Linked DNA regions of Arabidopsis thaliana. The protein of the gene in region 2 interacts with the protein of the main gene of each other region in a pairwise test. Each region holds a gene or a part of one and is shown on either strand. Other genes may lie near its edges.

What was found.
Region 1: the proteins of PLIM2b (region 2) and AT5G50915 interact in a two-hybrid assay, tested with the Arabidopsis thaliana proteins (one large-scale study listed by BioGRID).
Region 3: the proteins of PLIM2b (region 2) and NAC028 interact in a two-hybrid assay, tested with the Arabidopsis thaliana proteins (one large-scale study listed by BioGRID).
Region 4: the proteins of PLIM2b (region 2) and RMR1 interact in a two-hybrid assay, tested with the Arabidopsis thaliana proteins (one large-scale study listed by BioGRID).

Annotation. Positions count from the first base shown.
Region 1 is NC_003076.8:20,707,586-20,715,342, forward strand, and holds AT5G50915 (basic helix-loop-helix (bHLH) DNA-binding superfamily protein), read right to left. Parts: upstream 4,880-7,757; 5' UTR 4,668-4,879; coding exon 4,338-4,667; intron 4,243-4,337; coding exon 4,117-4,242; intron 4,008-4,116; coding exon 3,942-4,007; intron 3,833-3,941; coding exon 3,764-3,832; intron 3,673-3,763; coding exon 3,589-3,672; intron 3,483-3,588; coding exon 3,372-3,482; coding exon of another isoform or gene 3,351-3,371; exon of another isoform or gene 3,254-3,350; coding exon 3,179-3,253; 3' UTR 3,140-3,178; exon of another isoform or gene 3,006-3,139; 3' UTR 2,518-3,005; downstream 1-2,517. Other genes in the region: AT5G50910 (uncharacterized protein), read right to left, coding at 824-952, 1,476-1,697.
Region 2 is NC_003070.9:280,038-286,973, forward strand, and holds PLIM2b (GATA type zinc finger transcription factor family protein), read left to right. Parts: upstream 1-2,723; 5' UTR 2,724-2,881; coding exon 2,882-3,016; intron 3,017-3,094; coding exon 3,095-3,194; intron 3,195-3,276; coding exon 3,277-3,299; intron 3,300-3,406; coding exon 3,407-3,496; intron 3,497-3,775; coding exon 3,776-4,045; 3' UTR 4,046-4,208; downstream 4,209-6,936. Other genes in the region: AT1G01770 (propionyl-CoA carboxylase), read left to right, coding at 1-51, 143-333, 412-531, 620-700, 852-1,084, 1,272-1,311, 1,401-1,499, 1,722-2,152 and 1 more; KEA1 (K+ efflux antiporter 1), read left to right, coding at 4,744-6,314, 6,415-6,586, 6,680-6,770. UniProt on the Arabidopsis thaliana protein: Binds to actin filaments and promotes cross-linking into thick bundles. Has an actin-stabilizing activity. The actin regulatory activities are inhibited by pH > 6.8 but are [Ca(2+)] independent.
Region 3 is NC_003070.9:24,518,322-24,527,713, forward strand, and holds NAC028 (NAC domain containing protein 28), read right to left. Parts: upstream 5,940-9,392; 5' UTR 5,788-5,939; coding exon 5,631-5,787; intron 4,720-5,630; coding exon 4,442-4,719; intron 4,365-4,441; coding exon 4,032-4,364; intron 3,922-4,031; coding exon 3,550-3,921; intron 3,452-3,549; coding exon 3,361-3,451; intron 3,277-3,360; coding exon 2,612-3,276; 3' UTR 2,347-2,611; downstream 1-2,346. Other genes in the region: AT1G65900 (plant/protein), read right to left, coding at 1-4; AT1G65920 (Regulator of chromosome condensation (RCC1) family with FYVE zinc finger domain-containing protein), read right to left, coding at 6,946-7,033, 7,123-7,484, 7,567-7,713, 7,799-9,392.
Region 4 is NC_003076.8:26,441,655-26,449,615, reverse strand, and holds RMR1 (receptor homology region transmembrane domain ring H2 motif protein 1), read right to left. Parts: upstream 4,531-7,961; 5' UTR 4,419-4,530; coding exon 4,289-4,418; intron 4,203-4,288; coding exon 3,966-4,202; intron 3,821-3,965; coding exon 3,431-3,820; intron 3,010-3,430; coding exon 2,912-3,009; coding exon of another isoform or gene 2,894-2,911; exon of another isoform or gene 2,816-2,893; coding exon 2,738-2,815; 3' UTR 2,183-2,737; downstream 1-2,182. Other genes in the region: AT5G66180 (S-adenosyl-L-methionine-dependent methyltransferases superfamily protein), read right to left, coding at 1-67, 158-248, 332-476, 552-664; STR18 (sulfurtransferase 18), read right to left, coding at 1,030-1,128, 1,218-1,277, 1,370-1,440, 1,519-1,598, 1,682-1,788; AT5G66150 (Glycosyl hydrolase family 38 protein), read left to right, coding at 5,182-5,412, 5,509-5,592, 5,676-5,764, 5,839-6,013, 6,079-6,282, 6,350-6,421, 6,505-6,618, 6,711-6,811 and 6 more. UniProt on the Arabidopsis thaliana protein: Involved in the trafficking of vacuolar proteins. Functions probably as a sorting receptor for protein trafficking to the protein storage vacuole (PSV) by binding the C-terminal vacuolar sorting determinant (VSD) of vacuolar-sorted proteins.

The DNA.
Region 1 (7,757 bases), on a different chromosome or scaffold from region 2:
TCAAATTATACATGGGTATCAATACATTGCTAAAATAGAAAAAATGATAAAAAGTTTTTACTAAAACTACAAATTCTGCTTGAACAATTAGGGTTCATAACCAATGCTGCTGATGTACTAAATAATATAATAACTCTAAATCTCTAATTTGATATCTAATTGTTCCCCACTATGATATCAATTTAATACACTCCGTATGAAAACAAATATGAATATATATAGTTTATAGCAGCACGGGTGTGACTACTAGTATTTTCATTCATTATAGTTTCGAACTATAACATTTCTTCATAACTTCTTTAGTAAATTACATTTTGGTTTATTTTGGGTGTGACGGAGTTTTTAGTAAATTACAAGATCAATATTGACGAAATGACTTGCCAATCTAAAACGAAGAAGGCTAATGCATAATTAAGAATCGAAATAACTTGGAATAAAAAACAAATGTGCCCATCATCGAAAATGGATTGATCTAAAATGAAAAAAAAAAACGAAAAAGAAGAAGATGATTACACCGACGATGCTTGATACAATCATACAACATTCATCTTGTTATCGATTCAGTGTGTGTACGGCAACTAGCCTACTGCAAACGCAGCGAATGTTCTCCATATAAAACCAGTGAAATTTTGGTGTTAAAATTAGGTTTACGAAATCAAGTTTTTAATGAATCGTTTACCATTTCCATAGAATATTTGTTAAAATCGATCCGTTGTTATAACAAAGAGTCAAAGACTATCGGTAAAATATATAAGAGTAGCTACTAGCTAGTTAAGGTTTGTTTGGTACTCAATTCTTATGGGCCTATAAGTAAACTGAAATATTAGTCTTTGTTGCTCATTGTTGTTAATGGGCTTTCTAAAGTGTGTGCTTGGTCTACTTTCTTGATAACCCAACTGATAAAGACTGAACCTGCTTCTAAACCAGTAACAATAGTTGGTCGACTAGTATACTGATAGAAAATAATAATTTTAAGCTTAAATATGACCTAGTATCAGTGTTTCTTCAACTTCAAAACTTTTGATGATGTTATTTTGGTTAATAAGGTTGTATTTTCTAGAACTACTACGTCATTATATATCTATACGTATTTACATTTTCATCGTCCTATAGAGTTTACTTGTTCACTTACCATTCACTACTTTGAGAGGGATAGAAGAATGGCAATTTCAACAGCCATCTTGGCTAGCTACTATCTTTATAGTTTTTGTAATGGAAGAATGATTCATGTACACGTGGAAATGAAGTTAGGTACATGAAAACAAACAAAGAAAAAGAGTGTAATAGAAGAGATGGGACTAGACATAGACATGAAAATCTCTGGACGACTAACGGCCGGACTGCTCATTTAATCATGCCTTCGAATTGTTGCTTTTTTTTTTTTTTTGGCTGTATTAGTTGTGTAATAATGTACAACATTTTTTCTCACCTAGGCGTGTTATCAAATTGAATCGTGGACCCTTCGGTTAACTTACCAATCGTTCTCGCATAAAACGTGTCATCAGATATTTAGGGTTTGATTTTGATAGGTTTGATGATGCGAAGAATCGAAACGCACAGTTAAAGTTATAAGAGGTATACTTTGAAATAAACATATGAGGTGAAATGATGTGCATAAGATTTACGAAATGTGTTGTCCATTGATTCAGGATGAAACCGTTAGCAGATACAATTATGTGCCACGAGAAACTTAGCATTTCCTTTGTTATTGTATTTTATGATTGATCAATTTGCCGTATAATAACTTGGGACCAAATTCATATGCATTTTCGATTAAAAAAAAAAAAAAAAATCGTATTCATGACGAAACAATTGCAAGAAAATGATGACCCAATTCATCTAGCAACATATCATATTTATAATAATAAAAAAGGGAAAAAGTGAAAATTTTGAACCATAGTCCAATAACAAATCTTAGAAGAGATGATATCAATTAAATTTTACTTATTTAACTAAAATCTCAAATTGTTGAATTGTGAAGAGTAATCTCACAAATCATATACATCCTGACATATACATCAAGAAATGAAAATCATACAAAAAAATCTCTATTCTAGGTTCGTTAATAAAAGAGGTTATTAATATGTATGTAACTGAATAACGATAATATACATAAGGCTCTTGCATATAATTTATTTAGGTGTATTCAAATAAATCCTGCAATTTAGGATTGAATAACTCAAGGAATCGTTAATTACCACCTCATGAAAATGTTAGACAACCAACAAATCATATTTACAAATACAACAGTATCAAATATCTCTTTCAAGAATTTTGGTATATATATATTAGACATACTCTAAACTAAAATAAAACTTATAACATATGTATTGTGAAAGGACAGATACAGAGGAATGGGAGTTATCAATGTGTGACAAGTGAGAGCAGAAAAGCATGACCAAACTATTCAACAGGTACATTAAAGTGTTCTCAGGAAGGGAAATCTAATCTTTTCTTCTGACATAATTTTGTAGCCAACTAAATTGACAGGAAACGAATCATTTAGATTTATATACATGCATAAGTAGTTATCCCTCGAACATTTTTATATATATAGGAAATATAACATGAGTGTGTGGATAACAGTTTACATTTAAAAAGATTGGAGGAAAAAGGAAACTTTGGTGCAAGAAATCAGAAAGACAGAAGTGGTGAAAATACAAGAACTTATAAAATTAATGAGTGGATACATCAAAATTCAATTATATTAAAAAAAACAATGATTAAGCTGATAGGTCTTCTTAGTTTATATGTCTTTCTTTCCTCCATCGAATTTGCCTCTGCCTCATATACCATTCTCTTTTAGTATGAATTTATCCATTGATTTTATGTAATGATTATGTTGAAACTCTCGGGACAAATAGAGAAAATGAGCTTTTTAAGTCTCTAAAATACTTTATTTCTTCAAACTATATAAACGGAACAAATAAGTACATCCACTTTTACAAAACCTGGTTTACGTAGATTTTATTCCCTCCGTGCAAATGGGAGGAGATTAAATCAACCTACATCCAATAAACGATAGCAATAATTACGAACCCACATCAAGATTTTTAACAATTTCTATATGAGAAATGTTAAAAATAATTGTAATGATAATAATTAGGTAGTTGAAGAGACAAGACCAGAAGAAACTCACGAAAGCAGGCTTTTGTGTTTGTGTCGACATGTAATTTTATCAAGGGAAAGAACAGAAGTTGTTGTTGTTGAACCCACTTCTGTCTACAAAGTTCTCTCTTTCTTCTCCCTCTTCCTAAATTAAGCAACACATCACTATCTATTAATCTTCCAATAATTGATTCTTATCTATCTTCATTCTCCTTATTATAATTATTATCTGAAATAATCACTTATAGAAAAAAATGAAAAACCTGAACTTGTGCATGTGTGGGAACTACAGAATTATCCAATAGTGAAGGAAAGATAGGAGTAGTTGTTGGCATTGCATTGGTAAAAGACGTTCCTACTTCTGGAGAACCCATCTGTCCATCAAGAAAATATCTACTTAAGATCCATAACCGGCTTTTCGGGATACATGACTTGGTTTTATCGGTAACCGGATTAAGAGACATTGTGTAAATGAAATACCTCAGATTGAAGTATGAGGCCATCAAGGTCGGAGCCAAAGTCATAGACCACCGGACTTATAGAAGTTAGCTTCATTGAGAGAAACTAATGAAACAGAAAAAAAAGTTATGAATTAGAAACATTAGTTTTAACATAAAATGTTACAAGAAAAAACAAAATAATTAAGAAAATGCACCTCAACTTGAGTCTGCAAGGTCTGGACATAATTTATAATCTCATCCAACATGAGGGCCTTCCCTGTTACCTATTCGTTTTCAAGTCACATTTAATCAATTAATAACATTTTCTAGAAACATTATAAAATTAAACCATTATCAATTCTCCTAAATAAAATTGTCTCTACTCTAGCTGACCTTATCACAGCCCGGAACAAGGTTTTGCAGAGTCCTCATCCGCTCACTTATCTTTTCCCTTCTCACCTTTACATATATATATATATAAGTTTAATCAAATATTAATCAAAATGTATTTTATGAAAACATGATTAATGAAGAAAAATTAAAATGTTAAGAGAAATGACTAAAATACCCTCTCAGCAAGGCTGTGGCTATCAGTAGCTTGGCCTCTTCTAGCTCGAACGTGAATGTAATCTGTTGGAGGCTCTTCTTTGCTTCCTCTCTTCTGTTTTTTGCTTTTTCTTCCCTCTACTCCTTCCTAATTCACCAAACCACACCAACATTTATGTTTTTGACTATCCCAACCCCATCACATAAATGATAGATGATACATTACAAGTTGGTTTAACATACCTTGGAGTTATTACTGTTTCTGGCCTTCCTCCCACGGGTTTTTCCGGTGTTGGTGATGGCTGATGGTCCGTGGCTGAGCTGGTCGCAGGAAGAAGAACCGGTGGTTGCTGTTTTGGTTGTGTTGGCCAGTTTCTCTGAACCAGAGTTTTCAGTTTTGTCAACATTATATTCAAGAAAGGAAATGTCTTCAACTGTGGAAATGTTTGGTAGTGGATAGAGATGGTTTTGATCGATGAAACTAGTGAGATTAATGGAGGAGTGAGGTGTAGGGAAGAGAAGAGGATCAAGAAGGGAATGAGGGTAGTTTTGGAAATAAGAGAAAGTTGCCATTTTAAGAGTAGAAGCTTCTGAGTTCTCTTATCTTTGTCGATAGAGATAGTGTTTTTTCTTTGTGAGAGAAGATTAAGGACTTGAAGTGGTTTATATAAGGAATTGCTTTTGTATTCACTATTCAAAGAAACAAGGAGAAACAGAAGAAAGAGTATTTTAGGGACCACTTGTATATTGAAGATACCTTTTTATTTGAGAAGAAATTACTACCATATTTCGGCGGGTAATTTATGTTAGATGATATGTTTATATATAATATCGAGATTGTATATTTAAGTAATTGCATTGAGTAACCATGGAAGAGTAAAAATGAAAATTTAAGTAAATAATGTTGAATTTCAAAAATTAGGTGACTAATGATCTTTCATCATTCTTAGATACGTATGTTCTCTTTTTTTTTTTTTTTCAAATGCAAACTCATGGAATATTTGTCTATTTATTTTGTTTAGTTTTATTACTCTATGGGTATCATGATATTTTAGAAAATTTGTTTCAAATTACTTTATGTAAGAACTTATAATTTTAAATTTTGTTGTAATTTGTATTCTCCATAGTTTTATGTTATTTAGAGAATAAATTATGTTTTGAAATATAAGATTATAAATACTACATAATTTGTAATACAACCATGTTGTAAAACTAAACAAGACAAATACTGATCAATATATCATTTAATTAAGACTTTTTTTATAAGAATATAATAGCGCATAACGTGAAAACAATAAATGTACTATAAAAAGAAGTAATCAACTAAACCCATTAAATGAACGAAAGAACGACCAACGTGGGCAGTCGAACTCGAGGAAAATGTTCTCTAAAACCAATTGATGTATTTGTATTGACCATCAACTACACTCACGTAAGCATTCAATATTGTCGCCCTAACAACGAACTATATTTAGAAATGCCCTAAAGCTATGGCTTGTTTTACTTTATAAGAGGGTCGGACCTATAATACACATATCAAAAAAGTTAATGTACACCAAAAGAGCAATATTTATCATTTATCAATCAATTTTACTTTATCAGATTGCAGAACCTTTGCCACAGCTAATATATAGATCAATATATAGGCACAGTTTAACGAGTCAGATATAATTAAAGACTAGATAGTAGAGAGATATATTACCCTATCCAAAATACTGTACATTTAGAACTAAATATGTAATGCCGCGTGATCTTCTCAATAATAATCTCTATGTGGATACCATAATACTACAAACTTTTGTCCATTTTTGTTAGAGAAAATAAAAACTTTTGTCCATTTCCCACTTTGGATCGACATAGGAAATTTCCTTTTCAGAAAAGGACAAAAGAAAAAAAATTGTGAATAAGGTGTGAAGTCCAATCCCATGATACCGTTGGGTATGCATAGAAGACAAAAAATCATAAATCTCCATTTTGTTTTGATATAATCGGGTACTCTTATAGTAATAATCGAAAAAACGAGTACTTGACCATCAAAATTTATCACAATCCATGTCCTTAATTATTTAGACTATTATAATTCCTTTCTTCTATTTATAAATTATTATTATGACACGTACTTAACAAAAACATTAAGCGAATCTACGATTAATTAATTATCAATTGTATACGTACGAATACGATCTATGGACTTTCTATTATGATTTTCTTTTTGAGATCAAGTTTAGAGCAGAAAGAAAACATGCTAATTAGGAACCAAGAAAACATTATGATTGTTCTTTTGGACATAATTTACATGTCAAAGGTCCGCATGAGCTTGTAATTAATTATCATAACCCGAAGATGATAGAGATTATGCACGTTTCATCCGGATGAGGAATAAACATTTATTGGCATCATATTTTCTTCACCAATATCTCTCTTTTGCTTCTTTTCAAATCAGGGTACTTGCACAAAACCTTTATTCTTTATCTAACGCATTTAATTAGCGGCTGATCTATTATTTGTACTGTGTTTTGAATATTCAAGATCACATTTAAAGAAAAGAATAAGTGCACGAGACTAATTACGAAAGGATGATATGAAAATGAATCTTGAATTACGAGATAGATTAGGTACATTACTTCACTCTAAGAAATTGACTCAAAGTTTTCTTCTACCATCCTATATCCCAAAACATTACTTACAAATGCAAAGAAACAACTTCCATTTTACGGCGTTTTCTGGCCGATAAGTCTAGTGAATTATGTGACGATTGTAAGATATATGAAGTAAGTTAGGTTGATCTCATAACTGTTATAGATCTCTATTAATCACTTCGTTTATTTAGCTTAATCTCATTATATTTGTTATTCAAATATGTTGCATCTCTATATGTTTTCTTCTCTATTATCAAAACAGTTTTATGTCCTTCTACCATATTATTTCCATTTTGTTTAGTGAAGTATTGATTTTCTCTACTAAGAAGAATACAAATAAATCAACCTGGCAATAGACTAATTAACGTACGGTTACGTCTACGAAATAGATATTCATAGAAGTCTCTATCCGCATGATACGAGAGATAACCTTTTACTCACATATCATCGCCTACAATGCAATAAAATAGTAACAAAGAGAAAAAAATTCTAATTAAAAATTGATGAGTTTTGTGATGGTACGACTCTCCTTTTGTTTTTTATCTATTCAATTTACGAATCTATGCAAAATCTCCGAAGATTTAATAGTACCTGTGCAAACTGGCACTAGCTATGTTCCAATATGTGACATCGCTTTCTTCTACACTAATACCAAATTCAACATGAAACGTTTTATCTTAATCCTATGTTATATCAATTTCAGTGTTCCTTATTATATTTAAAGGAACTCAAAGATATTACGTCAAAATGTAATTAGATTATTATAAGTTTTTATATGGTTTTACAAGGTTTGTAAAGTCTTATATACAGACTATAAAGTGATTTTTTTGAAAAGCTTTTCTCTTAATAGTAGTTTTGAAAAGCAGTATCATATTTTTCAAAATTCCTATTGTTTATTCACGGATAACCTAATGATGTGTAGATTAGGTTAAAAATGTGGACAATATGAAGAACATTCAAAGAATTAGTTCATGTGAGCTTTTGTTGGTTTAGGATTTGGTAGTAGCTAGTCGGTTCCATATGC
Region 2 (6,936 bases):
ACCTTCTGGAGTGCGGTTGCCAGCTCACTGGTGGATACTTCATGCATCCAGGTGCGTTTTACGCTTATTGGCTCAGGGAAGATATGATGAACTACTGTTTTCCATTATCAGTATGGTCATTTCGTTCCTCAATGTTCTTTAGGTGATCAGTATAGAGACATGGCTTTCCCTCTTCTCCAGGATTTGTCACTTCCTTATGCAGAGATTGGCTATGATGGTAAAGTATGTGTATCAAAGGTTGAAGGTAGTGGTGGAATTTTAAATACCAGTACTTGCGCCGAGCAACTTCTGTATGAAATTGCTGACCCTAGTGCCTACATTACACCTGATGTGGTAAGTTAGCTGTACAAAATCTAGAAGAAATAACTGTAAAAACGGCGGAAATATTTGATTTGAAAACCTTCTTTGCAGGTAATCGATATTCGAGGTGTTTCTTTCCTTCCCCTGTCAGACTGCAAAGTACAATGCAGTGGAGCAAAACCATCTTCTAACACTTCTGTGCCTGAGAAACTCTTGCGGTTAATTCCAAAGGTTGTTATCCATAGAAAATGCTGGTGGTATTTGATTGATGCTAAAGAGCAACCTATGTTTGGTTCTATAATTCGTATTTTCTTTGCAGGAGTGTGGTTGGAAAGGGTGGGGAGAGATATCTTATGGAGGAAATGGTTCTATACAACGTGCTAAAGCTTCAGAGTTTCTGGTGCGCCTATGATTAATATGTCTATGATGTAGTAGCATTTTTTGGCCCCATCGTCGCTTGAAATGACTCCTTATGGTGCCTTAAATTGGAGTTCATTTCTTATCAAGTGTATGTACGTATTTTACTTGTGTTTTTTCCTTCTTTCTTTCAGGTTCGATCTTGGATGGAAGAAACCATTCCTGGTGTTAACCATTGTATTCTTTCTTATGTGATTGGGGTTGATAGCTTGAAGGCGACAAGCAACGGCACTGAATCTTGGCAGTCATGTGGAGATATTAGATTACGTATGGATGGTCTTTTTAAACTGAAGGAACATGCGGTCCAGTTAACAAAAGAGTTTACTGCTCTATATACAAACGGACCAGCTGGTGGTGGTGGAATTAGGTAATTTCTTCACGTTGATGTTCGCTCCATATATCAATCCAATGCTAATTGTAGCTTTACAGTAGTACCAAATCCTGTTGAGTTGAGACATCTTATGACTAGGGACAATGTATTGAAACTAGTTATTTGTTATGAGATTCGGGGTGGTCTTTTTGGTTTGACAAAACTGCTTGTAAATTATATGCAGTACCGGACACAAGATGGAAATTGTTCTTGAAAAGCGTTTGGTAGGTCGTCTCCATCAAAAAATTTAAACTAATATAGCCTTGCATCAATCAATTTTACGGATTCTGATGTTATATGTTTGGTTATCCAGGTCAGCCGTGAATCTGTAATGTGGAAAACTGGACTTCAGCACACCAACACTTCAGAGCCAGAGACCTCTGAACATCATTCTCCAGAGAAAATGCCAAAGGTTAGCTCGAGAGTTCTTACTAAACTAATTGTGATGACTGATAGATAATGGAAATAAACATGACCTGAATTCAAATTCCTTGGTGAATCAATCCTAGTGTGTTCGAACATCAAACTAACTCTGATGACTGATAGATATGTTTTACTATTTGAAAGCTGAAAATGTGAAAGAACTCTAACATGTGCATTTGTATTAACACCTTGTTATTACTTCCATTTGTAGTTACCTAAGGAAAATCCAAAGAACCTTACAATGAGAGGCTATCAATCTGGATTTCATCACTCTCCTGCTCCATCTGGCCAAAAGATCCCACTCTACTCTGTTGCACATAGCCGGGCTGGCGATAAAGGAAACGACATAAACTTCTCAATAATCCCGCATTATTCCCCAGATGTCGAGCGTCTGAAACTCATAATTACTCCTCAATGGGTAAAGCATGTGATGTCAGTTCTGTTATCAACCTCTTCGTTTCTGGAATTGGATGCAAAACCAATGGATGAAAATGTGTCAGTAGAGATATATGACGTTGAAGGCATTCATGCTATGAATGTTGTCGTACGGAACATATTAGATGGTGGAGTCAACTGTTCCAGGAGGATCGACCGACACGGAAAGACAATCTCAGATCTCATCTTGTGTCAACAAGTTGTGTTGTAAGACTACTTTAACTTTGCATATCAGATTTTTCTATTCAAATTCTGTGGTAATATGTTAATAAAAAGGGAGACTTGAACTACACTATAGTTCTAAAAGATAATAGAAAAAGAAGGAATCGACTTAGTGGTGCTTCACTTTCTTTTACTTCTATACATTAAAATTACTTTAATTTACAACTGGATATCTTGATAGATACGCATACAGATAAGTATTAAAAGCATTGTTTTGATTGAGAGAGAATGATATTATATATTTGTGTAATGTTAGGTTGTTGTTATATTCTTTTGCAGGATCTGACTGACATGGGTTGCACCACCTCAGAGACAGTTGGCTTAAAGTAACAATCCCTTATTGGATTGAAATTGTCAGAAACCACAACCCTTCTTTTGCTCAACTCCAATCACTTTGCCACCCAATTTTATCTCATTCATTTTGCAAAAAAGATCAAAGAGAGAGAGAGAGAGAGAGAGAAAGAAAAAAAGGAAAAAACCTTCCTCCGTTACAACCTCACAATTGCAACAAAGTTTCATATAAAAGAGGACAGAAATTTCGCAGGTTCCTCCGTTGTCTGAGGTAAAGGTTTCCTTCTTTAACTAATTCCTCAGATGACCTCTTGATTTGTTGGAAAAAAAATTAAAAAATCTGTTTCATACAGGATCTTGGAGAAGGAAGGAAACAACAACAACCAAAAAAAAACCAAAAAAAAAAAAGATAAAACAAAAAAAATGTCTTTCACAGGAACTCTCGACAAATGCAATGTTTGTGATAAGACAGTCTATGTGGTGGACATGTTGTCCATTGAAGGAATGCCTTACCACAAGTCTTGCTTCAGGTGTACCCATTGCAAAGGAACCCTTCAGGTGCACTCATTACTCATTTTCTTGTTAGATCTTCTATGATCATATTATATCAACAATTTATCTATGTGTTGATGGCAGATGAGCAACTATTCCTCCATGGACGGAGTTTTGTACTGCAAGACTCATTTTGAGCAACTCTTCAAGGAATCTGGCAATTTCAGCAAAAACTTTCAACCAGGTTCGTATTATAAAATCTCTGACATCGAATCTCTCTATCTTTCAAATCATCATGATCATAACAAGTCTCTTTCTTTTCTCAGGAAAAACTGAGAAGCCAGAGCTGGTAGGTTCATCATTACATGTCCTTGTATATGATTAGCGTGTCAATATTTCATTTTCTTTCTTTTATGATCGACTAATAGGATCTGTGTACTGATTTAAACATTACAGACTAGGACTCCCAGCAAGATATCTTCCATCTTCTGTGGAACACAAGACAAGTGTGCCGCTTGCGAAAAAACTGTTTACCCTCTTGAAAAGGTTAGTGGTATACGCATCTGCAAATGTTCTCATGGCCTAAAATACCAACGAACTAGTCTCGTAGAGAAATTTATTTGCTCTAGAATTTGTTTTTTGTTTTTTCATTTCCGTAGAATTTTTCTGTTCGGATAAAATCATTACTAGATCAAATGGAAATAAAATTTTGATTTTGGTTTGGTTTAGTATACTTTTGGTTCGATTTGAGAACGTGATGTTGGTTGGTCCAAGCAAATGTGGAATCAATTTTGGCTTGGTTCTAATCGGGTTATTTGGTAACAGATACAAATGGAAGGAGAATGCTTCCACAAGACATGTTTCCGGTGCGCTCACGGTGGGTGTACGCTGACTCACTCCTCCTACGCCTCCTTAGATAGCGTTCTCTATTGCCGACATCACTTTAACCAACTCTTCATGGAGAAAGGAAACTACGCTCACGTCCTCCAAGCCGCCAATCACCGTCGCACAGCCTCAGGCAACACTCTTCCACCGGAACCTACCGAAGACGTCGCCGTGGAGGCCAAGGAAGAGAATGGCGTTTCAGAGTCTTGAATATCTCTTACATGAGTGTTTTTGAGTGAATGATTGAATGAATGTTGTTGCGGGGGAAAGATTTGATTTCATTTGTAATGAGTTGTTTCCATATGAAGACATGATTTTTTTTGTTATTTTTTTAATTCATTCGTTATACATTTATTATTACACACGAAAAAAAGGCAAGAATTGATGTTTTTTCACTCTATGTGTGCTGCTTATGATATGCTTTCCGATGGTGATGATGATATTCGATGTAATATCTGTTCGGTTCAAAGATACCAAACTACTTATATACCGGATCAAACCAAGTGGTTATCGGGTGATGTGAATCATTCATTATTTCGTTAGGTGAGAGAGGGTGTTTTCGTAAAAGTATCTAAAAACGGCCTTAGCAATGATGTCTGGTTGGCGAGAAACTCAAAAAGGAGGAGACAGAGAAAGTTGTTTGACTGGGAAAATTTGAAGAGACGAGCCAAAATTATCTGTTTGAAACGAACGGAATTGAAGACGAGAGCCACTCCTTTCCGTTTCCACCTTTCTTCCATTCTTACTCAACTTTCCATGATTGGTTAGCCTCTCTATCTGTCCGTGGCTTGTCGTTGATTTTTTTTATCTTGGTCGTCTGAATGTGTGGAATTTCGTTTTGCTTCACAGGAGTTGTATATAAGGTTCGAGGAATAAAGTAAGGCTACTTTTTTTATTTGATTTCCGATATGGAGTATGCGTCTACTTTTCAAAGGCCGATTCTATTCCATGGTGGAGATGGTGCGAGTTACTGCTTTCCAAATCGATTGATAAGTCCTAAAGGAATCAGCATTACATCTGGGGATTCTAAAGTGCATTCGTGTTTTCGATTGAGGAGAAATGTAGCACAAAGTGGTACATTGAATTTGATGAATGCGTGTTTCTCTGGAAGGTTTTATAGTGGTCATTTGCATTCTACAAAATCAATACTTGGCAATGGCCACCAAGCCAAAAGAATCCCTTTTGGATTTAGGTTACGTTGTCAGGGTCATGAATCTCTGGGTAATGCCGATAGTAATGATCATCGGATCGGGGAATCTTCCGAAAGTAGTGATGAAACTGAAGCTACAGATTTGAAAGATGCGAGAGTGGAAAACGACACTGATAGTTTGGAGGAACTCAAGGAGTTACTACACAAGGCAATTAAAGAATTGGAAGTTGCTAGGCTCAATAGTACCATGTTTGAGGAAAAGGCTCAGAGAATCTCAGAAAGAGCCATAGCACTCAAGGATGAAGCTGCTACTGCTTGGCTTGACGTAAACAAAACCCTTGATGTCATTCGAGATACTGTTTATGAGGAGGCTCTTGCTAAAGAAGCTGTTCAAACGGCTACTATGGCCCTGTCTCTGGCTGAAGCTAGGCTTCAGGTTATAGTGGAATCACTTGAAGCTGGTGCAGGGAATGATATTCCACATGTGTCTGAAGAGACTGAGGAAACAATAGATGTTAATGATAAAGAAGAAGCTCTTTTAGCTGCCAAGGATGATATTAAAGAATGCCAAGTTAATTTAGATAATTGTGAGTCCCAACTGAGTGCTTTGCTGAGCAAAAAAGACGAGCTGCAAAAGGAAGTGGACAAGTTGAATGAGTTCGCTGAGACAATACAGATCAGTTCGTTGAAAGCCGAGGAGGATGTTACCAATATTATGAAATTGGCTGAACAAGCTGTAGCATTTGAGCTTGAGGCTACTCAACGCGTTAATGATGCAGAGATTGCTTTACAGAGAGCAGAGAAGTCTCTCTCCATTTCTCAGACCCCAGAGGAAACTCAGGGCCAACTCTCGGATGAAGAAACTTCTCAGGAGGATGCGATGGTACTTTCAGGTAACGTTGAAGATGTTACCCATCAGGTTGAAAAAGAATCACCTAAAGATGGAGATCTACCAGTGGTACAGATCACAGCTGAACTTGTGCCTGATATAGTTGGTCAGAGGAATAAAAAACTAACTCAGCCTTATGAGTCAAGCGATCATGAGAATGGAAAGCCAAGTGTAGAGTCTTCTAAAGTGGTTGAAGCAGATTCTGAAAAGCCAAAGATTAATGTTCAGACAAAAAAACAGGAAACTCAAAAAGATCTGCCAAAGGAGGGTTCCTCTCTTAATTCTCCCAAGGCATCGTTTAATAAATCCTCCCGTTTCTTTTCTGCATCTTTCTTCTCTTCTAATCCAGATGGGACCGCGACAGTGTTTGGTAGTCTGGTTGGTTCTGTCAAACAGCAATGGCCCAAACTAGTTCTTGGGCTTGCTCTTCTTGGAGCAGGGTCAGTTTGAAAATTTACTCTTCTTTGCTTCGAGTTTTGAAGAATCATTTTTGTACAGAAAGTTCTCTTTTTGTTGATACGAGCTTCTTATTCGTTCCAGACTGACATTATACTCCAATGGAGTAGGGGGGAACAACCAGTTGCTTCAACAGCCAGATGTTACCAGCACTAGTACAGAAGATGTCTCTTCAAGTACGAAGCCACTGATCCGGCAAGTGCAGAAACTTCCCAAGAGAATTAAGAAACTACTTGAGATGATCCCTCACCAGGAGGTATGAACAATTGTTCTTGTTTTTTTTTTTCTTTTACGAAGTGCAAATTGTATGGAATGTACTTTGCAGGCTGAAACTTTCTGCAATTAATAGGTCAATGAGGAAGAAGCTTCCCTCTTTGACTTTTTGTGGTTACTGCTAGCAAGCGTCATATTTGTGCCTCTATTTCAGAAAATTCCTGGAGGTAAGTAGTATTTTTTTTTCTTCTTTTGTTAATTCTATCCATTGCATTACTATTTGTTTCCCCTTTCCCTCAAACTCCTACAATTTCTATGTTCTCATCAGTCAAAAACATTTTCAGTTCTGGTCTCGCAATCATGTTGCATAGAGATTTATGTGCCATCTTGATG
Region 3 (9,392 bases), about 24 Mb from region 2:
ACATTATCACTGTTAATGGTGATGAAGAAAGAAGACAAAATCACAATTAACCCTTTTTGAATTTAGATTGGCTCTTCTTGAATTCACAAGACAAATATCTGTGGGTTTTCCATAGAGGGAGAGAGATAGAGTGGAGAGTGATAGGGAGAAATATTTTATTATTGTTGTTGGCAAAAATAAATAAACTTTTTCTATATGCTAGAATTCTGTTGGAATGTACTTTTTGTTTTTAGTTTGATTTAAGAATAATTGTGGAATTCAGATGGAATATTTGCCTCACTGGACATCCTCACTCAAGTGTAAATGTATATGCAACCACTATTTCACATTCTTCATACATGTGAATACCCTTTTGTATTCATTTTAGTATAGTGTTTATACGGACAATTGATTCATTATCCCTATGTCTCTCCAATTCCTATAGATGGAAGTTCAAACAGATTGAAACTTGTGTCAAGGTTGCAAAAGCATGTGAAAAACAAATAAATGTATAAATTTCTGGTTAATTCCGTTTAAGAAATTTAAAAATCGATCTCAATGCTGTTTATAACACAATGAAATAATTTCTTACCACAACCAAAAAAAAAATTAGAAAAATATAAAAAATATTTGGAAAGTGAGGTTTTGATTGATTGTGAGAACAATAGAGGAGGTGACCCGTGAAGAAAGCACGCGACTATTATTTGATTTGTCACTTTGTGTTTCAATAGTTACCACTTTCGCTTTCTTGTGATTTTCTGTCTACACCCATTACGTATCACCACGTGCATCCCAATCCCCATTACCACAATCTCGACTCCAAGATTTGAGATCGTAAAAGATAACGCAAATTATAATCATTTTAGGGTGTTGTAATTATTGTTAATGATATATACCAACTGTATCATTAATTTTTCTTGAATTTCAAAGGATATGGGAGTTCTTGTTTTCTTTTTTTTTGGTTAAATGGGATTTAAGTTGTAACTTTAAAGTAGGAATAAAGTCAAAGGCTCAAAGCCATATCCATAATATGATACATCTTACCAAGACGCATGAAAATTAATGGATCCATATTTCAACGGAACAATGTTTTAAATAACCTAAACTTTCAAAGAACTTTGTAAATTTCAAAGGATATTGGGAGTTTTTTGTTTTTGGTTGGGATTTATGTTTAAAGTATTTTAAAACGCATGAAATTAGGATCCACATTGAACATCTTTTAAAATAAACCTAAACTTCCGATGAACTTTGTATATTGTAACACTCCAATCCAGCCCATTAAGGCCCAAGTACCCTAAATTATGTCGTTGTGTGTTACTTAAAGTCTCACAAGTCACTTAACGCATCTCAATCTTCAACCCTAAAACAGGCAACGAACCTCAGCCACCACTGTCCATCGTGGTTGAGTTCGACGAAGTTTGTTGTTGTGATCCGATCTGATCCTAATGAAGATGAGGAAGGAAACAGTTTCTGGTAGGGGGAGTGAGATTCAATTGTAGTTATACTTCAGCAAGTAAGGCTAGATGAGAGGTGTCGACATCACCCCTAAAGGTATACCTAGCTGCCAAACTCTTTGATTGCCATGCAAGAATCAACAATATCTATAAAAATCCAGTATGCATAATCATCTTTTGAACTGGTTCTTGTGCTAGAGTTACAAAATCCTAGTTGTACTAGTACCAAACTTTTATGACACTTTTTAGCAGCTTGTTTTCGGTCAAGCTTGAAAACATGATCCATGGAAACATAACATCTATTTTTTTTGTAAATCATAAATTTGTTCATATAAAAGAAGATTTAATTATTAATTGCTAATGACTAAGATATTAAAAATTCAATGTTGAAACGTATCGATATTTGGTATGTTATGAGATATGCATACTCACGACATTGTTAATGTTGCAACGTATCGTAATATGCATATTATGACGGGGCAAGTCCGTCTAGTCCTCTTCACTCAGCGTTAGACACATTCGTTTATTCTATGTTTTGTTTGGGAGAGAATAATGAAGTTTCAATCGCCGATCCATACAAACTATTAAGAGCCAGGAAAGCAAATCTTGGCTCCATGAGATTGGCGAGCTTCTCTGACGCACCTAGATTCTTTTGTAAGAGAGGTTTTTTTCCTCTCTCTATCTTCCATTCACATTTGTTTTAATATTGAAACCGACAGTTTGAACCGTATAGGTTATTCTTAAATATTATCTGTCAAGATTCAAGAACAAAATAGCTCGATAGTAATTTTTGATGATCTATACATTGCAAAACATGGAACAGCAATCGTTATAATAAACAAGTTATTATGAAAATGACTATAAACTTACTCACATATCTATAGTGACTAAAATACTGAAATACAAGATGGCTAAATTGTTAATGTTCGTATAATCTGCTCTTACCGTCTTACGTGCATGCAAACATAATAATAATAATAAAAACCAGACAGAAGACTGATCGTTCAACCCGCGGAGAGATCATATCACTTAATACATAAACAGAAAATAACCAAATCTAGTTTTGTTTAGACGACTTTAGAGAAATGGAAAAAGCAAATGAGAGTAAATACGACCTAGGCAAATGGGAGTACAATAGAAAAGTGAAAAGCCATATATGATATATTGAACCTCAGTATTCAAATAAGACTTATGGTAGAAACAGCTAAGATGATAGCAAGAGAAAGCCCCAACTTCTTCAATACGAAACTATCTTGAAACCGAAAACCTTGTTCGTCAACCATATTTTTCTCTTTCTTCTTCTTCCAAATTTTTCTTCTCACGACAGCATTTTCCATCATGAGTATTGTTCCCCGATTGTTACAATCTCCTCTCGTAGGCTGCCTCGAGTAACCTTCACTGCCTCTGTTTTTGTTAGAGTTACCTCGATGAACACAACGCATCAATAGAAGCATAGGAATGAAGCCAATAACATGCGCGAATTTTCTCCATTGTCCAAGAACTGTTGAGCTTACTCCGTTGATTCGCGGATTTATCTTTTTACGGACATGAACCTCCTCTTTTGATGTCATACTATGACAACACTCATTGCCATCCGTCGGATTTATATAAACTATAACGGTTTGCGATGGTACTATCTGTTGGAAGAATGTGTTGGTTACCTGACGAGTTGTGACAAACAATCCATGGCTAACCTCAACTTTTTTTACCACCTCAAAACATGAGGAACTCGTTGTCTCATGATCGTTCTTGTCCAAAAGATTCTCGTTATGTTCGTTTTCCGAAAACTCGAGTGTGAAAGCATCATCCACATCTCCATTGTTGTTGTTAACGTCCATACCATCTTCAACAACAACAAAACAAAAAAATCAAATCCAGAGATGTCAAGAAAGACAACCAAATGTAGAAATCGCGAAGTGAAAGCTACCTTGATCATGATGTTCTTGTTCTTGATTATCATTATGATATCTCCAAATATCTTCTATAGGAATTACCGTTGAGTGTTCTTCAACGAAGCTCTGAAATTTGTAGAATAAATCAAACATATACTTATATTTGATAACATATATATTAACACATAAAATATTTTGCACTTAACATTGTAAAATATCACTACCTTTTCAAGTTCCTTGCTTGATACTCCTACCCATCTCAAGTTTTCAACAAGTCTTTCTTCCTTAAAATTCACATGGTGTTCTTGCATATCTACAGCCTCCACGTTCGCCTCTAGGCATGAGACTTTTTCTCCGGAATAGTTAAAGTCTCCATGGAAGTTCCCGGAAGCAGAACCACCGTCCCATGAGTCTAGACTGTTTCGTGGCTCATGTGAGGCTTGAGCCAATGCTATAATCTTGCTCAACATTTCATCTGTATCGTTAGCTACATTGTTTCCAAAATATTCATTGTGTGTGAGACCTTCTACGTAAAGTGGTGGTACTGGTGGCAACATACGATTTTGTAGTCTTGCACACTCTAACGCTATATCAACCTATTATATGAGGAGAATTCAATGGATAAGAGATTAGTTTGAAAACAAAAGGTTACATATTCACCAATTTTAATTTTGTATTTCTTTGAGATATATAGTTTAAATTTTACCTTCGAGGGAGGATATGAGATTGTTCCATATTGAGACTGAGGTGGGAAGTTGAAGGACGTGTCATGCGACATAAACTGACTCCATTTATTCTCTATCGTTTCCATATCCGACGACGAATTATTACCGAGTTGAGTTAAGCCTCCTGTCTCAGGTGAGACTGGATACCCCGAGTTTTCGAGGTTTTCATACATTCCATCAGAATACAAACAAGTACTAGAAGTAGATTGTTCACTATTAGTCGTTCCTTTGTTCTTCTTCGTACCATGGTGTTGTTCTTCAATTTTGTTGGCTAAAGCACTCTTCTTAAATACTCGACAAAGTGCATAGGCATCCTGAAATGTTTATACATTGGTTTATATTCAAGTTAAGAATCTTAATCTTTTGATAACCTTTTTAAAAGTTAGCTTACCTGTATACCGGATTTAGAGTCACATTCTTGTTCTTCAAGACGGTACTCGTGCATGACCCAATCGGTACGAGAGCCATGAGGCGCTCTTCCTCGGTAATAAACTAATGTTTTCTTTGTTCCAACCATCCGTGAATGTGAAGTCACTTTACGATCTTTCCCGGTGGCTTTCCAGTAACCTGCTTTGGTCGCCCGGTTTGTTCTTGATCCGTTTGGATATTTCCGGTCTCGAGGACTGAAAAAGAACCATTCTAGGTCTTTACTTGGCAGCAAGGACTTCCCTGCAAGGATCATACAATTAAGATAAATTATATCCAATCTTAATTTGTACACACTACTTAAAGATTCCATAACATGTCATGAGAATCCAAAAGATTAAAAAAGAAAAGACAAATAAAGAGAACATTAGATTGTTTTATATTTAAAACAAAAAGTTGAAGGTGAATGAGAAGCTTCCAAAACCCTAAAGCACATGTGAAATTATTGTGAGTTACTTATTATCTTTTTTTTTCAATCTTCTTACCTTTTTTGACTCGGTCTTCCGAATTTGTCTCACACTAGTCACCACCGCATCTCTCGGTTTTATTACAATCCTTTTAAAGACTAAAGATAAGGGTGGGTCCATTTAAATTTTATTCTAACATAAAGTTGGGATCATAATTATTAAAGATTATTTAGTTGATAAAGCATTCACGTTCGATTCCAAGTTCGATGCGTGACTAGAGATACATAACTTGGTACGTAAAAATGTGAAAATAAAATGGGAATTATATTATGTTAAGGAAAAAGAGGGAAAGAACATCTATCTTCGAAAAAGAAAGGACGTCAAGTGTCTCTTCTCTCAAGGGTTACCCTTTCAAACATTAGTTTCACATTATGTAGTTTTCAGAAAAATGAATCTATTTTTCGTTATTCTTACTAAATTCCAAAAAAAAATGATCTTACACTAAGCATATCAATCAAATGATTATGACATATTAGAAAAGAACCAGATAGAGTCTTCTCCTTCGGTTGCTATGGTATGGTCTCATTTAAAATTTCTTTAACATGAGACACAACATGTTGATGTACTAACGATGCAGAATCATAAATTTATACCTTCGTCCATGGTAAATACTTGCGGATGACCAAAAAAAATGATAGATTTGCATCTTATGAAAAAGAAAAAAAAGAAGCAAAGAGAGAAATATACCAGGTAAATCCCAAGGTTCGCATTTGTAAAGATCAATCTCGGGTATTATCTCTAACTCAATAGTCCGACCATTAATCTTTCGCTTGAGGTAGTATATGACAAGCTCTTCGTCTGTTGGATGAAACCGGAAACCTGGAGGCATTGAAACAGGAGCCATGTCCACTGCCTTATACAAACTTCTTAGCTAGAAACAAATATGAACATTTATAGAACTTAAGAGAGAAAAAGGAGAAGAGGGAGGAGAAGGAGTGAGAATATGAAGAGACAGTTATATAAGAAAGAAGCGTAACATAAGGGTTTGAATTCGATCGATCAGTGATGAAATTGTAAGAAAGACAAAAAGAGATTAAAATTATGTAAAAGAAGCTGGAAAAAGCATTTAGGGTCGGTTGCCAATTGCAAACCCCACAACATATTTTCCACTTTAACTTTTCTTTTTACTTTAATGTGTTTATATATTTCCGTGTAAATTTGATTCTCAGTAACGTTCTTAATAAGCTTTTTCGGTATCATGTTCAATGTTGGAAAACTCACGTTCATTATAATTCATCTAAACATGTTTATTTTTGTTCATCCATGCGTAACGTGTTTATGCATATAGACTAGATATTTGTCAATTTCATTTATCAGTTTTGCTCCTAGTGAAAATATTAAAAGTAACCAATTAAAGACAATTTGATAACTATTTTTGCTTGTAAAAACGGATATATATGTATAAACCTATACTAGTTAATAACTTTTGCTCGTCATATTTTTTGGCATCGACCAACGTAAGGACGTGACATATTTGACATATTTATAAGGAATTTTCAACAACTAGAACTTAATGTAAGGTTTTAAGAAAACATAATAAGTAAACTATTTTTTACGTTGTTAATTTTTGAGATGCTTTCTCACTGTTTTCACACATTTTAAGCCACATTTCATAGTCAATTATTACGTTTTCTATAATATAGAATGAAAGTTTTATATTTGATATACATCATTTTATTTTCTATCTCGTGGTCAATGCCTCAATGGTAATATTGAACCAATCGCATTTTGAAGATAGCATGTTAGATATATTTCTACTTACATTTACATACTATGCAAGTCTTCTTCATTGCTCAAAATCACAAACATTTTTCTTAACTCGCATATATATTTCCTAGATGATCATTAAAATATTTTTATTAATCATATATTGGAATTTTTTTCCCAGTATTTTTTTTTCATTTTTTCTTAAATAAAGAAATTTTTCTGCATTACATATATTCACTAACAAACATCAAAATGAATTAAAATACATTCGAAGAAGTAAACTCAAAAGTTAGTTTCATATTTCAGCATCATACTTGTTATAGACCAAAACCTGCTTCTCTTCCCACCATCTTTGTGCTTCCTTCTCTGAAAACCTCTTCCGACTGCAACCAAAGTTAGAAACCAATCATATAAATACTTAAGCGTACTTCAAACTATATAAACACTTAAAAGCACATTAACATTTTTTTACCTAAACCGTACGCGTTTAAGCGTCTTCTGACCGCAAGGCAAGGCCGTGAAAGTTATATATACACCGGGCTCGTATTGCTCAACTTGTTCTGCTGACGAGTCTTGTGTTTCGTTTTGGAGATACCCTGTTCTTGTGATGGCTGGCGATGCATCTACTAATAGCTTAATGTTGCTGTCACGGTTCGAGGATTTCGTGACACATTTCTCTACATGTTGTTTGGTTTCGTGTTGTGAACGAGCTGTGGTGATTGGTGTGAGGTATGGAATGGACATTGAGTCATCAAAGATTGGTGAGACTTGAGAAGGATTGCATGCAATGCCGGTCTTCAGAGGATTACTCGGTTTCTCTTTATTCGCTTGGAGCTGCAAGCAAAGATACCGTGAAAATGTCGGTCACATAACAAACCAAAAACAGAAAGATTAAAAAAAACTATGTATCTTTTACCTTCGATGCCAAGGCTTTTATTATCTCTTTAGCAGCTTTCGATTTCTCTGCTTCTTCTTTAGCAACTTCCCATGTCTTGTCGAGCTCTTGTTGACATTCTTCCATCTTCTCATTGCCAAGTTCACACTGCCTCTGGAGATTTTTTATCTACATGTTCATAAAAATGTATCTTTAGTGTCTAATGTGTTACTATTGTTACAGGTAAGAAAACAAAAAGAAGTAGTTTAATTACCACGGCTTTTAGCCTTTCGATTTCTTCGGTTAAGATCTTATTCGACTCAGACGAGGTTGAAATCTTCGTTGAAGATGTTCGCCTTGCTGAGACTGAAAGATTCAAAGAAGAACTTGTCGAAATCTTATCGAAACGAAACAGAGAAGGACCAGAGACTTGTCCCCATCGAGGCTGTCCATCCGAAGATCGATTAGCTTGTGGAAGATTCTGCATCTCATTCTCTGATTGTTTTTCTGTCAAATCCTCAGATACTCTTCGTGTAACCATCTGCATCCTCGGAGTGTGATTATCCATCTTAACATTTCTTGAAAACTCTGTTATACTCCATAGATGATCAAAGCAAGAATCGCAAACCCGAGAAAGCTTGCTTTTATTCGGTGCTAACGAAGCATTTACCGCTTTCTTGCTACTACATGCATTGCAAAACAATAGACCACAGTTGTAACAGTTATGCTTTCTCCTTGTGAATCCAAAAGCTGATTTGCAAGAACTACAAGCGGTTTGATCATTCAAAGAGATCTCTTTGTGTAAACAGATCGCAGCCGTCAAATTCAACCCGCAAGCTATACTTTCTACCAACCTATCACCTAAAGGCTCAACAAGAACAGGAGAGTTTCTATCTCTAACGTCACCTAAACCAAGTTGTCCATTCATGCCTTTTCCCCAAGTATAAACATTTCCAAATGAAGTTAGAACAGCTACATGATGTGAACCTGAAGCAATATCCTTGACAAATTGTCGTGTTAGATTGCCTAAAACAACATTTACCGACTTATCCTTTGCCCGCGGACATCCTAACTGTCCGTGGATCGAGCTTCCCATTGTATAAACCGTTCCTGAAATGCTTAAAGCAACAGTTAAAGTCCATCCACAAGAGACTTTTATGAAATCATGATCAATGAGTTCAGTAACACAAGTTGGCACAAGCTTTCTCTTGCTATCAGCATGTCCTAACCGTCCTTTATCGCCATCTCCCCAAGTAAACAGCTTTCCACAACTCTTGGCGTTGTAGAATTTCCGGTCGTTCGCGGTTTCCACTATAGCAGCCGTGTGCCACGGTCCACAAGAGACAGATATGACCTTCATGCGTCTCAAAGACTCAACTTCTTTCGGCTTTGTAACACTCTCAAGACTCCCATGTCCAAGAACTCCAAAAGTTCCACTACCATAAGTGAAAAGCTGACCAGAACTAGTCACAATTGCCGTGTGCCACGCGCCACAAGCAACACTTAAAACAGTCAAAGATCCGCCAAGAACATCGGATATCTTCCGAGTCAAGAACTGGCTTCCTGACTGTTCAATGGTTCCACCATCAATTCCCCATAAATACAGCTCACCAGATTCCGTAACAGCACACGTTTGATGATCACTACAAGCCACTGATCGAACTGCAACATCCTCAAGAGACTCAACGCGTTTCGGATGGTCGATATCGATGTTAACTTTAAGTCCAAGCTTCCCACTATTTCCATTCCCCCAACAAAACACTTCACCTTGTCTTGTAACCAACGCAGCATGTTTTGCACCTAGAGATATACTCTGTACATCAAACATCGTAGCAGATTCCAAAAGCTTAGGAGACAACGCATCGTTC
Region 4 (7,961 bases), on a different chromosome or scaffold from region 2:
GCAACATCGACACCGGTGGCAGTACCCTTCTGACCCAGTAGGTCAAGCATCATACATAGTTTAGCACCTGAGAGTATTATTATTCCCTCTAAAGCAGTTACAAGGACGAATTGACACACTAAGGAAACCAAATCAGCTGATCAATGTAAAAAAATACCAGGAGCAGCACAAAGATCCAAGACATGGTCTCCTGGGGAGATACCAAGAGCTGAGACAGCGGCACCGGAAGCTGCATCGATTCCGTACATCTGAAACCCGAAGAAAGAACAAGTGAGGTTAAGAAAAACCGAATGAGCGAGAGGAGAGTTGGTATTTGATTGCTCTCTCTCACCATGCCTTGCTGATAGGCCTTGGTTCTGGCTATATGAACATCTGGAGGGATGGAGTAAAATCCTGGTAACCAATTCACCTTCTCCAGTTTACAGTTAATTTCGGATTCAATCTCTTCGAAAGCATCCTCGAATCCAGGTTTCAACCTTCAAACGGACCTCTCCGGTTTCAATGCCAAATTCAGAAATTTTGAGAAAAGCAAAGGAGGGGTCTCAAGTTACCTTACATAACGTGGAATTGAATCTCCGTGAGTATAGATTGAAGGATCAAGGCCATTCGCCTCTAGAAAGCTAAGGAAACTCTCCGGTAACTGTAGCTTGGACGTTTCTTCCATGAGAAACCCGAGAGAGAGAGAGAGAGAAGTGTTCGGTCGGAAAATTAATTAAGTCGGAGAATCGCCGGGCGAGAACAGAGAAGATAAGGGCTTAGGCTGAAGCCCAAAGCCTTTTTGTATGTATACTCAAAAAGCCCAAACGTTTTGACCGATGAAACAAACAAAGGCTTGTTACTTAGTTTTTACACTTTTACTTGTTCATCTTTTTTTTTTTGGTTTTCACTTATAGAGAAACACAGCTTTTATTGAATTTGGTACACGAAAGTTTTGATTACAAGAAACTGGAATTTTAAATTGAAAATGATTACTACATCACACAGGCAGTTATATTATTTGATTAAGAAAAGAAGAGAATCTTAAGATTATTAATTAGCAGATGGCTCCTCCTCCTCCGTGTTGATGGGAAAGCTGTGATCCACCCAAGCCAAGTAGCCACCTCCCACGTTTCTCACTTTCTTGTAACCCTATTTTTTTATGTATATATGAATTGATTCTTTGAGATTAAACACACAAGTAGGAGTAAATTATGTATGTAAACTAGGGACTATTATACACTTACTGCAGCAACAAGTTCAGTTGTGGCTTTTAAGGATCTGGCTCCACTCTGACAACCCTGTTTGTATCAATATCATTTTCCAGATTTTATCATCGTTTTCACCGGCAGATTTTAATTCTTGTGGGTGTGATGAGGAAGAAAAGAGTTACCACAAGGATATCATCAGCTGGGTTTAGAAGAGAAGATACTTGCTCCAAGAACTCTTGATTCTTCACTCTACCTAAGAGTAGAGATCACAAGGCTTTAACTCATGTACTGGTTGATATCTCTAATTAAAGGTGATTGATATTTGATTTACCTTGAGGTGTGTTGAGCATGTAGGGAATGTTGACGATCTTAGCTGCCTCACAATGGCCTCTCCTAAACTCGTCCTGAGTCCTGCCATGTGCAAGGATTTTTCATTAACAACCGCAGCAGCTGGTACATGCATGGTGATATGATAGAATAGATCAGAAGCTCACCTAACGTCAAGATATTGATGCCCAGACTGGAGGAGAGTCTTGGCTTGGCTCACATCTACACTAACAACTTCTTCTGCCTTTGTGCTGGAGGAGATTGATTGAGACATCTTCTTCTCTACCTCTTCTTGTCAAACAAAAAGATGAAGAAGCTTCAGGAAGAGAGCAGAGAGTAATAAATAGGACCAAACACAATAATATTGTTTTAATATTGTTCTATCTTCCACTTATACACATGCATGGCCAATATAAAAATAATGGTATATGATTCAACAATTAGAAATTTGTTTCCAATTCCATACGCAAGTAAATGAAATCTACAATAAAGAATATAAGATAATAGTCTTCTTAGACAGCTATGGTAAGATAGGCCCCAAAGCCTGCATAGAAAACGTGTTCACTGATTAGAGATGAGAAGGAAATGTTGGCTGAATTTAGTAATCAAAAGAAGTTGAGTATGTAATAGAAAGTTTTGGTGATGGAATTGCGCAACTAACAAACCCATGAACGAGTCATCGTATTGGATGAGTCGTTAGGTAGAGATGAGGATGACGTGTTCTTTTCTTATTATTACTACAGACAAGACAAAATCAAAGCCACGTTCAATGGATTCCATTCCCCCATGTAAGGGAATCAGATTCAATATTCATATTATACAAACTTTAGGCAAAGAAATTATCAACAAGATAACATTAGAGATTTGCCTGGATCGGAGAGAGAAAATCTGATTAGACCAACATTTGTTTTCTATCAATTTGTTTGCATATCTGTACTATCACACACATTTTTTCAATCTATAACACACACACACACACAATGATCAAATGTACACATGACTCAGAGCGTATGTAAATGTACACATGCAAAGAAAAAGAGGCAAAGCAACTCATATCTTTTTGATCTGGGAATCCAGCAAAGCACGACCAGTATGGCAGATCCGGTCCCTTTACCTAAACTTATCCCACCATGATTAACCATTCAATATAAGATGCAAACCTGGACCTGATCCAGGTAACCGAGCACTGATATGAGTGTTCAGCTGCTAAGCCGATAATAACTCTAACGGCTTTGACTGGATTGGGCAAAGGCAAATCTACTCGTACTTGTATCTGTTCTCGGACTCTCTCGTTTATGTACCTGCAACAAAACAACACAAACAGTGTATTGAACCCAACGCAAAAACAACAAAATAACTACTGAAAGGATTTATACATTTCAGTCTAACAGGATCACCTCAGAAGACATAGTCTCGGTTCTTATGTCATGCTTGCACACAGGGCAAGATGTACCCCATTTTGTCAACCAAGAGTCGATGCAATTCAAGTGAAAAGCTGCATAAGAGCTTCAAATCAACCAACTGCTATGAATTACCCCCACTTACATAAACTAAAAAAGGTCAAATCTTTAATTTATTCTTCTGATGTACATATTCGACCCATCATATCATTCGAAGCAATGAGTAATACCAAAAAGTTCGCATTCGGTGCTTACCTATCAAACTGGAATTGACAGAAACGGAATATATTGTACCTTCAACCCTAAAACAGAGGAATTTATGCTAGAAAGAAATCTATTTTATAAAGTTAGAATCTAAGAGAAACCTATCAAAGTCTTCCTAGAATAGTAAGCACATGTTTCAATCCTGTGAAGGGAAGATCTGTGTCTCATAAATATACATTTCCAAGACCTCAATGAACACATTAAGGGTGGCAAGTTGCCAGTTTATTTCCACAGAAGAATAGGAGTAAGTACCATGTTGGCAGGGGAGAAGTCTGAGGCTTTCTCCAAATCTGTAATCCTCGAGACATATAGCACATGTTTCCCCGGCCTTGTGGTGAGCAGAATCAGTGAAGGTGAAGCAGGGGAGTGTGTGGACGAGCTTTGCATCTAACCTGATGGTCCTGGTGTGCCTCCCTCGCCATTGGGTCCAGTGTCTGGGTGCAAAGAAGGCAATCAACAGGAAAGTGACTATAAGAAGGAGAGAGAAGAAGGAGATGGCCAACACAGTCCAAGCGCTCCCTCTGTCTGGCGGATTAAGGCAGCATTCACCATCTCGGCCTCTCGCGTACTTTCTCAAAATCTCACCGGCGACATTTGAAACGAAGACTGCATCAACTGTAATGTCCTGAGGGTTCACCTTCACTGTGCAAAACAGATGTTGGTCAATCTCCAAACTTATGGGGGCGTTGACTAAATTAAATAACTCCAATGAAATTCAGCTCAACCCTAGCTCATCAGGAGAAGAAAAGATGGAATTTTAAACTTGGGTGGGAGGCAAAAGGCTTACTGACGATGAGATCTTCGTTGTCAATGTTGTCATAGACAATCACAGCTTGAAAACCTGAGTTCTGGGCATTGAGCAGCTTATCCTCAAAAGAACATTCGCCTCTGATTATCAAAGCGAACTTAGTAGTTCTGTGTTGCGTCCAGTTGGATGCGGCGGCGTGGAGAAGCGGTGAGCAACCGTCGAGAGGATCTGCGACGTATAGAGCTCCACAGATTCCGTTTTTGGTCACGGAGCCGTCTGAGAATCAAAATCAACTTCTTTTTAACCAGATTGTTCGAGAAATTGTTTCGGATAAGGAAAAAGGAAGAGGGGGAGAAATTGACCAAATTTGGCTGGGAGATCGGCAAAAGAGGCGGAGATGGAATTGAGGACAACAGTGGCGAGTGAGACTCGTAACAGAGAGGAGAGAAAAGGAGCTGCAACTAGTAGACAGCTTGAGACGACGAGTCTCATCTCTCTCTCTTTTCGCTTTCTCGGTCGATCGATGGCTTTTCAGTTTCAGGCTGTCGCCGAAATGCATTGGTTTCTTCACCAGAGAGAACCTTCTACTCGTCTCAGAGGCTTTAAAGATTAGTTCGTTAATTTATATTTTATATACGGAATAAAAACGACGACGTACAAACAAAGCCTCCTTTGCAAGCAAACAACCCCCAAGTCAAATGAAGAGAACAAAACAGTTGCAATGATGTAAATGACTTGTTGTTGAGATTTTTATACTAAAATGTTACTAGCTCAAAGATTTGCTTCTATTCTCTGTAAAGACGTGGTTTAATTATCTCTATATTGATTGATTTGTGTATTATCAAAGAAAGGGAGATTTTTTCCCAAAACTATTTGTTAAATAAAATTAAAGAAAAGGTAAATGACTATTGTCAAAACTCAAAACAGATCAACTTCAATTTTAATGTTGACATCAAAGTAGAAGAAAAAAAGATTTAATAAAGTACTATTTTAGGGTCAAGATTTTAATTAAATTTGTAGGAAAATAAGATTATTGTAGAACCTAATTAATTATTACATATGGTGAAATGACAATCTAGTCACAGTAAAACAATAGAGAGACTCTAACAAAGACCGACGGATCTGAGCAAAAACAAACGATAAGGATTTGGTCTTTTGTTATGACCCTTGTTTTGCTCTCTCTCCATTTTCTTGTTATAAGTTTCCTCCACACCCTGTAAGAAAGAAAAACATCTGAAAACTCTGCCATCGGAAAATGGAGAAACCGGGTATGTCTTTATTGAAAGGATCACTTTGTGTTATTGTTTTTCTTCTTCTGTTGTCGTTGGTTGAGAGCGTCAAAGGCGGGGGATACGTGAAGTATGGAACCGAAGCTAAAGTGGTTCCGGGGAAACTAAATGTTCATCTTGTTCCGCATTCGCATGACGATGTCGGCTGGTTGAAAACTGTTGATCAGTACTACGTAGGATCTAACAACAGAATCCAGGTATGTTATCTACAGATGAATGATGAATCATATATATGTATGTATGTAGAGACGAGTCTAACGTACTATATATCCCAAATGAATTGTGAGTTTCAGAACGCTTGCGTGAGGAACGTCCTAGACTCGGTGGTGGATTCTCTACTTCGTGATCCCAATAGAAAGTTTGTGTTTGCGGAAATGGTAAAACATTAATAATGGTTTTGTTCATAAAACCATAATATATGTTTTCTTCTCTTATGTGAACATCAATGTACATGAAAAAGGCCTTCTTTACGCGTTGGTGGGAAGAACAAAGCCCCGAGAGACAAGAGCAAGTGAGGAGACTAGTGAAATCCGGGCAACTAGAGTTTGTGTAAGTAGGTCACGACCTTAATTTTATCATTTTGGCTACCTAGCGTTGATACAATTCACACAATCAATGTGCAGAAATGGAGGATGGGCTATGAATGATGAAGCAACGTGCCATTACATAGATATGATAGACCAAACCACAAAGGGGCATCGGTTTATAAAGCAACAGTTCAACACAACTCCACGTGCTGCTTGGCAAATCGATCCCTTTGGTCATTCCTCTGTTCAAGCTTACCTCCTTGGAGCAGAGGTCCCTTCTAATCTATTTATTTCTTTATTTCCTTATGAGTGTGTTTTAATTTGGTGGGGGTGCAGTTAGGGTTGGATTCTGTGCATTTCGCGAGAATCGATTACCAAGACAGAGAAAAGCGAAAGGCCGAGAAATCACTTGAAGTCATCTGGAGAGGATCAAAAACACTGGATTCTTCTTCTCAGATATTCACCAATATCTTCTTTGTTCATTACGGCCCTCCCACTGGCTTTCACTATGAAGTCACCGACGATTACGTACCCCTCCAGGTTCGCTTCTTCTTTCTCCCGTTTGGTTTTTGGTTTAGGGGAATTCGGTTCACTCGTCATTTTGCAGGACAACCCTCGTTTCGATGGCTATAACATTAAGGAGGCGGTTAATGATTTCGTCAATGCTTCTCTTGTTTATGTAAGTCTTGAGTAGTATTTTTTTTTTTTTCAAGTGTGTGTGTAATCTTGGATTAATTCTGAAAGTAGTCAATGTGGACATAGGCTAATGTGAGTCGAGGGAACCATGTGATGTGGACAATGGGCGATGATTTTCAGTACCAGTTCGCCGAGTCTTGGTTCAGACAGATGGACAGACTTATCCATTATGTTAACAAGGTTTTCATATCTCTTGCTTGCTGTGATTGCTCAATATCAATCTCGCTGTCTTTGGAGACTAGATTCTCATCACCAATAATTCCATTCAACAGGATGGCCGTGTGAACGCCTTGTACTCCACACCATCTCTCTATGTTGATGCCAAGAATGTTGCCAATGTTACTTGGCCTCTCAAGACTCATGACTTTTTCCCGTGAGTGCCTTTAGTACTGTCACCAAATAAATTTACATATTCCTTTTGTTCAACAACTTGATTTTCTCAATAGTCAATAATTTCCCCCTACTCTCTGCAGATATGCGGATCGGGCATACGCTTACTGGACTGGCTACTTCACCAGCCGTCCTGCTCTTAAACGATATGTTCGGGCTCTTAGCGGATACTACATGGTATCAAACTGCATCTTACGGAGTCCGATTTCCCATTTTCTTAGTGAAATTCAAAATGAATTTACATGGCCTTGCATTTGTCTGTTTTTTTTCCAAAACAGGCTGCAAGGCAACTTGAATTTCTGGTGGGCAAGAACTCTGGAGGTCCAAACACTTACAGTCTTGGGGATGCTTTAGGGATAGCGCAGCACCATGATGCTGTCACTGGAACTGCCAAGCAGCATGTAACAAATGATTACATGAAACGCCTTGCTCTTGGTGCTTCTGAGGTAAGATACTATATATGAAAACTCTTTTCTTTTTTGTCTTTTTTCTTATATCAGTAATCATCTAATTATTCCGTAGGCAGAAGCTGTGGTGAATTCTGCGCTGGCATGCCTAATGAACAAAGCACCAAAAGGTGGCTGCACAAAGCCTGCAATAGCATTCAGCCAGGTTAAATCTCCAAGAAACTCATTTTGGATTTCATTTTTTTTACAGAAATGTGATTGAAGAATCCCTTTCATGGTGATGACTAGTGTGGGAGTTATTTCTTTCCTCTATTTAGAGTAAACGATTATTGTGTGTCTCTATATAGTAATCACCTGGTTTATATATTCTTTCTTGGAATCAAATCAGCAGTGCTCGTTGATGAATATCAGCTATTGCCCATCGACAGAAGAAACCCTTCCAGGCCAGAAGAGCTTGGTAATTCCATCACATCTCTCATCAATCATTATGATATAGCTCAGATTCTCCAACTATCTCAGTGTTTGATCTTCAGATTCTGGTGGCGTATAACTCCCTTGGATGGAACCGTACAGAAATCATCAGGATTCCGGTTATATTTCATGCCTCTGTTTACTTGCTCCTTTGAGATCAAATTCTTTAATGTATTACTAAAGAGTTAGGGTATGTAACAGGTCAATGATGCAGGTCTAAGTGTGGAAGATTCATCTGGAAACACCCTTGATGCT